Linked DNA regions of Schizosaccharomyces pombe. The protein of the gene in region 2 interacts with the protein of the main gene of each other region in a biochemical or structural test. Each region holds a gene or a part of one and is shown on either strand. Other genes may lie near its edges.

Region 1 (3,757 bases), 1.6 Mb from region 2:
AGCATGACTGAATTAAACGTACAAATAGGGTTGAATAGTATTGTATGGATTTACCGTTAGAGAGTCTATAGGTCCTTGAGACCGAACGAGCAGTGGGCAAGTGAGAAAAATTTGTAAGTGATTCTTCAATGATAAAATCTCGCTGATAAGGATAAAGACGAAATAAATATTGTAACGTTTGAAATAAAGGAGCTTTAAGAAAATCGAAGGATGAGCTGTTACAGTTAGGAAGTTTAGTTTTGAAGGAATTGTCGAGTGTAGAGACTTTGGGAAATAAATATACAATGCGTATGACCACAGCTTCCGACAAGGGAATTTCATGGGCAACTTTAGATAAGATGTTTAATACATTTGCGACTTTTTGTAACAAAACTGATAGATGTTGAATTTCAGAAGTCCTAGCATCGGAAGTTTTTGATTGAACGATGTTATCAATCGCTTCAGGAACTGTGTACTCAAATATGGAATGTAAGATATTAAGTAAATGAAGAATTGATTCTTCATTTTGAAGCTTTTTAAAGGAGGGGACCAGAAATATTATAAAAAGAACAAGAGCAGTGGTCTTTAAAATAAAGTCTAAATTCGGAAATTGTGTGAGGCTGTCATGAAGATTAATTATACTGTAACAAGCGACAGGAAGCTCTTTTAACTCTTTCTCAAGGATTTGTTTTACAAGTATTATACTCCCTTCTTCCAGCAATTTGTCACAAGCTCCCAAACGACTAAGCTTGGTTAATGCCATATATAGCTTTTCAATTGCGTGCGATGAAATGTGTTTTCCATCATCGTCTTCTCGTTTAATAAAGAGAGAATTCGATGAAAAATCTTCCGAATTCTCAGCTTCTATAACTTGAGAAATTAGTAATCTGGTATCTTGCAACTGCTTTAACAAAACGTCCTGCAACCGCTGGATCTTTGAGGGAGATTCACGAGGCGAATAAGTGTCTTCCATAAGTCGCTTTTTTGGGGTAGTAATATCATCTTTAGATTTTTTAGGGCTACATAATTGAACAGCGTTAAATACGCGAGAACATGATGGACTTCGAGGACTTGAAGACGGAGTTAAGAAGCCATTGTCGGAAGATGAACGGTTTGTATTTATAGAAGAAGCATCAGGTTTCTCCTTGGGTTCACACATCAACATACTTGGCTGAATCAGAGATTTTGTAAAATCATTTAATTCACTTAACGAGTCACTGTTACACACCTTTTGGTCTAGGACCGGACTGGCATTCACCCTCCTTTATATTTGTCAGATAAAAAACCTCAAAAAATTTAACTTACATTGCGGGCATTGCAGGTTCCGTTATCATAGCGCTAAGAGCATTTTTATAAAAATTAAAGGTTTCAGAATCGTTAACGAATGTTGCGCCAGGATTTAGCATATCCACATATCTTTGCATAATACTTGATTCTTCGGAGTTAAGTTGCAATGGCTCATTTTGAAATTTAGAAGATGGATATAATACGTTTTGTAAACCTATGTAAATTAATAGACGCGTTCAAACTGTATGCATACCATTTTCCAATGGGATTGATGATGCTAATGGTGTGTATTGAAGCCCTTTAATAATTCGATTAGAGGAGTTAACTTTTTTAAAGGTTTCAGGTGTCATCTCGAAAAGCATCAAAACATTGCAAAGCTAAGAAAGGGAAGTATTTATCATTAAATTCATTCATCTAAAAACAAAGAAACGTCGGTATATATAAAGCGTAAACAAGTTTAAGGCAATAGACCGAAACGGGAAAATGCAATTAAGATGTAAGCTACGCAGTTTGGTATCTGATTTAAGGATACGTAGAACTGCGGTGAGTTTTCCTTGTGATCTATTATATTACAATACACAGGTTGTATAAGTAGCAACTGAGTATAGGTATTGTATTAACTGGGTTATAATGTTACCTATCACTAATATAGCTCATAACTGAACTGAGGAACGAGTTCAGCAGTAGCTCTATTTATAGTATTCAGATAATATAGATCTTAATAGATTATCATTAAGATTAATTTCCATATCGTATCATAAATGGTACGATATATAATTAGAACATGTGACATATAGTGATACGCAACGTAGTGTATCATAGCGTAATGTAGTATTGCTGACATAAGAAACGTTCGTACATTTCGGATATTGGTGATTACGTATTTCTACAGTGGAACACTATTTAGAATCGGTCTCTTGGTTAGGAAAACGTGCCAAGGTCATTAAATATTTGGTTTTCTCCTAATAATTTGCGGTCTTGTTTTAAAACATACTAAATATTTTTGTTGCTTTAATCTAAGTTTTATCTATTACTATTCAAACAGAAGACAATGTCTTCATGTTATACTGTGATAGAACAGCATTGAGAAATTCTTTTTTCGGCTTTATAAGGTAACACTTCAATTATATTAATTCTTATATTTTTAATGACTGTGCTGAGATTTCATATTTTATTAAAAAATGCCCACATATCGCTTTAATTATCTACGTTTCAACAAACTATGTGTTTCCTTTTTTCGAAGCAAATTTGACAAACGACCTTTCGCTTCTCAAAAGTTTCCTGAAAATTTAGTTCCTGATAATTCAAGTAATGACGCTAATTCGCAACCAGAGGAAGTCTCAAGCAAAAAACCATGGTATGTGGATGAAAAACATAATCTATTTCCTAAAAAAGCGCATTTCGATGCGGTTGCGCTGCCACCTATTCCAAAAGGTGCTCCAAACTTTTTAGCTGATGTGTTAAACCTTCTTAAAAAGAAGTATTATGCCACTGATCTCAGTTTTGTTAACTCACCCGCCGATTCTTTTTGGTGTGATTCAGATCTTATTTTACTAGCTTCTTGCAACTGTGGATCTGAAGTTGTATCCGCTACTAATGGCTTACTTCGCCTTTTAAAACAAAAAAACGTTGGACCGGTGAACGTAGATGGCCTTACTAGTGCATCTCGGAGAAAAATTTTAGAACGGAGAATGAGGAAACGTTCCAATTTGTCAAACCGACAATTAAACACGTCTGAAAATAATTGGACATGTCTCAGTATCGAAAACTTCGGCATAAGCATTCATGTAATTACAAAAAATTTTAGGGAATACTATAAACTGGACAATATTGAACATGTTAAGGATGAAACTTTGTATTCTGATCTCGAACATGGCAAACAATCTAGGGTCTCACTCACTAGTAAATCTACACCTGATAATTCTTTACCTCCAAATTTTATTAATAACCACTCGAACGTATTTCGGAGAAGTTTCCATACTTGTAACTTTTCTTTAAAAAGTGCCGCATCCCTTTATTGCGATACCCAGGATATCTTGTTAAACGTCAATTCACAAAATCTGACGAGTACTTTGGAAAAATATAAGAAAATGCATCTCCAAAATCCTAATAATTTTTCTTTGGATTTTACTCTTTCAATTTTTGAGCGACTTCGAAAAGATTCTTCTTTGCAACTGACTACAAAGGATATCAATACGCTTTTCAGTACTATAGCTTTGTCTCCAACAAAGTTGAGTATGGCTTCTAAACACTCTAAAAATTTGGTTAGTGAGCGGATGTTGTATCTTTCACTAATGTATAAATCTTTAGTCGATCTAAAAACCATCGATTCATTTTCACTAAAACTACTTTTTTTAAAATTTATGATATGCTCTTGTATGGTTAAAGGGGAGTCAAACTTCTTTCTCGACAACCGCATATTTCTTTTGGAAAGGATTATGAACCGTTATGGAATACCCATGACTATTGACACGTTTCTACTCATGCAATT
Region 2 (3,757 bases):
GAGAAGCTGTAAAAGAATAGATTCCTGAAAATCATTTAGCTTGCAGAAAGAAAGTATACTGTCTATCGGATCTTTTAGAGTCGAGGTATAATTATCAAAAAGTACGAAGTTGCTAATATCCTCCCATGACTGATAGATTGAATCAATTTCACATGCATTAAGTAAAGCTTGTGTTATAGGAGTAATGAAATTACCATTTTTTTGGAAGATTCGTAATAATGTATCATAATCAAAGCTCGATTGGTAAGACAATCTAACCTCCTCCAAAAGTTTACACATTTGGGAAAATTTTATCCAATGAACTGAAAATGTAGTAAGTGAAGTCTGAGAAAAGGCCTTTAGAATATAGTCTTCTTCACCCCATAAATCAATTTTTTCATTCACACTTTCGTCAACCACTTTGCATAAAAACAGTACGGCTTCACGTTGCACCCTTGGATTGATATCTAAAATTAGCTTCAGCACTTTTAAAATTTCAGAATTTTCTAAAAATCCGCAAGTCCTCATAGCGTTACACAAACGAATGCTGGCTACACGAACTCCAATATCGGCGTCCACACAACTCATCTCGAGTATTCTTTCTTTAAATCTAGAAGAAAAATGTCTTAATCCACCAATAAATGAATCTGTCTCAAAAAATTTGCGCAAAACTTTAACTACAGTTAATCTGACGGTAGTGTTTATGTCTGAAAGCATCCATCCTAGGTATCTTAAATAACTTCCTGAAAAAAATATGCTTGGAACAGTATTAATCCAGACCCCAAGCTCTTGTAAGCAATCTACCCTTATTTTAGGCTCCACGTCTCGATATCGATGGACGAAGACACTAATATAAAGGTTAGTATAAATAAATTAAAGCGTTTGAGGGATCTTTACCTATCAAAGTAGTCATTTAAGTATGTAGTCAATGTATCTTGTTGCTTGACTATTTCACCAAGACTGTTATTAAGTTCGTTGATGCGATTTCTATTTACACGAGAGCGCTTTTCTTCTTTCTCGAGCTGTTTGGTAGCAATTGCATGCTCGTTCAATAGTTCTTTAGATTTTTCACATAAAAAAGTCATAATATTCAAACAGAAAACAGTGGCGGTGTGCCGAATAGGTCTCATCGTAGAAGAAGACATGGCAACGACCCAAGACATAATATCTTCAAAAACAGTGCTATTGTACAAGTAATTTCTTATTGACAACTGTGACACAAAGTTGCTTAAAAGACCGGTCAATCTCTTTCTGAAATTCCTAAACTTAAGATTTTTTGAATTTAAAGGATAATCACGAGTAGAAGTCTTAAAGTTGTTAATATACAAATAAAGTATTTTCGCAAAAGCACTTACACGCTCTACAGAAAGTTGAATTTGAGATAGAGTAGCTGAAGCAGAATCTTGATCCTGAACATCAAACACATTAATGGCACGATTGCAACCACAGCACTAAAATATTTAGTAAAGAAAGAAAAGAATGACTCTACCTTTAAAATAAAGTTAATAAGATTTGCAAGGGCAGATTGATTATCTTTTGCATAGTCAGCAAACCACGAAACCGCGATGTCCATGGTATCAACTTTTTGGTCAAGCAGAAAAGCTTTTCAGTGTTAGTAGCTGAAAAAAAGAAGGACTTTATCATTACCAAATAAGTTGTTAAAAATTTCTTCTTGAGGATCCTCTTCAACTATAGCGTTCCTCCTAGAGCGTTTTACATTTACTCCTTTAGAATTTGGCCGTGGATGCCGTTTTTTTGAGCTTATCGTTTTCTCGTAATCATCATCGCTATTTTCTTCAGAAGATGAATTTGAACTACTGCTCATGGGATCAAAACTTTGAGAAAGCATTACAGGGGAAGATTCTCTGTCTCCTCCATCATCATCAGATCCAGTAGTAACAGACTCACTCATTTGAAGAAAAAAAGAAATAATTTATAAATAAATTAAGAGGTGTAATTAGAAATATTGGAAAGAGTGTAATGAATGCACTATTGGTGTTGTACAATGGAGGTTGTTCACAACCTGTAGTTGATAAAAGCACGAACTTGTCTTGTTCAATAGTGTTAGACAGGATAAATGTGTTTGAAAATCCAAGGATACGAAAGGAAATTTATACTTAACGAAGTTATTACATTAAAATTTTCTTTACCTTGATTGAAACAAATATATACTATTTTCTTTTGGGTCCTGCAAGGTGAACAGCTAACTTATATTCACTCCGCGAGTTGAGATTGTAATTTGACTATACAAGTATAGAATTGTGAGTGAAAGATTCTTTTGACGCGTAATATTTTCGATTATTATTAATAAATGAGATATTTGACAACTTTTCGAGCGCTCATTATATCATAGGCAGAAATACGAAAGTCATCCTTTATGAAAAATTAACAAGTAATTAGAAAACTTTTATCCTTTTTATTTATTCCTCAAGAATTTTAGGCTGTACCCATCTGTAATTGCAAATATGCTTAAACATGACTTTGAAATACGCGTTTTGTTACTTTAACATATTCTGGGTAACGTTTGGTGCATGTGATGGATCACGGACGCGTCGCGTTCACGCGTCACGAAAATCTAATATACTCACGCTACCATCCACTACTTAAATTAAACTGGAACACACGACCTCAAAAGCGGATTAAATTAAGATTCATGATTATACCATGAATATGGACATTGGAAAAGCTTTGAGTGATGTTGGTGGGCTTCGAGATATTACCTCACGTGCAAATAACTCATTACCTCCGACTCCTGATTCTTCTCCCGCAGCACCTTCCAAAAAACATAAGCTTTACGACTTCCTAGAAAGCCGAGGAAAAATTGAAACACCTCGAAAACGCATTGTGTTTGAAAAGAAACCCCTGTTACACAAGCCAGTTCATATTCAAAAAAAACCTGCTCAACTTTGTAAAGAACTTTTAATCAGACAACTGGGAGGTTCCCGGTCGCACCCTTTTAGCACAAAAACTTCTCGTCATGTGGGAGGTAGACTCAATCTCGAAACATATTACTCACGACCTTCGGAATGCTTAATGATGCTGAACCAACTCCCGTTCTGTCTTGGATTTGCTAATAACGAGTCTTTATTGGCCGTATGTACTGAGACTGGAGCTCTTGAGCTGTTTGATTCTCGATTTTACGATAGACAGAATGAGGAAAATCAGCCGTCTGCTCGAAGAATCCATGGCTGGCTTGCTCACAACAATGCTATATTTAGTGTTAATTTCTCTAAAGATGATTCATTATTAGCTACTTCATCTGGCGATCAAACATCAAAGGTATTTGATTTGTCAACGCAACAATGCATCACTCGATTGGGACGACGAGGTGTCGATGGATACCACTCTCATTCAGTAAAGCAGGTTAATTTTTGCAATGATTCTCCTTATAATTTGGTAAGTTGTTCTCGGGATGGTTCCATTATCTTTTGGGATATGCGAACACACGGGATAACAATTGACGGTGAGCATTTTCAGAAACCAGTGTTAAGGATAAGAAAAGCACATGAAAATTCGGGAAGGGATTGCTCAATTACCTCAGCTACGTGGCTCCCTCAATCTACTTCGCAAGTTATATCGTCCTGCTCTGCAAACTCGGCCTTAAAGTTATGGGATTTACGAACTGTACATACCGTCCGACCTTTACCTGCTGCTACTACTCCCGAATTAACTACTTCAAAACGCGATTTTGGTGTTACTAATGTTTGTACTTCTCCTGACGGTGAGCGTATTTATGCTGCTTCCAGAGATAGTATCATTTATGAATATTCATCTCGTC

The links.
Region 1: the proteins of psc3 (region 2) and mis4 form a complex in vitro, tested with the Schizosaccharomyces pombe proteins (one study listed by BioGRID).

Annotation. Positions count from the first base shown.
Region 1 is NC_003424.3:395,262-399,018, forward strand, and holds the start of mis4 (adherin Mis4), read right to left. Parts: upstream 1,679-3,757; 5' UTR 1,629-1,678; coding exon 1,520-1,628; exon of another isoform or gene 1,481-1,519; coding exon 1,285-1,480; intron 1,242-1,284; coding exon 1-1,241. Other genes in the region: ATP synthase complex assembly protein atp25, read left to right, coding at 2,448-3,757. UniProt on the Schizosaccharomyces pombe protein: Plays a structural role in chromatin. Chromatid cohesion molecule required for equal sister chromatid separation in anaphase. May form a stable link between chromatids in S phase that is split rather than removed in anaphase.
Region 2 is NC_003424.3:2,034,537-2,038,293, reverse strand, and holds the start of psc3 (mitotic cohesin complex non-SMC subunit Psc3), read right to left. Parts: upstream 2,000-3,757; 5' UTR 1,892-1,999; coding exon 1,627-1,891; intron 1,582-1,626; coding exon 1,469-1,581; intron 1,431-1,468; coding exon 1,335-1,430; intron 1,287-1,334; coding exon 877-1,286; intron 827-876; coding exon 1-826. Other genes in the region: WD repeat protein Cdt2, read left to right, coding at 2,644-3,757.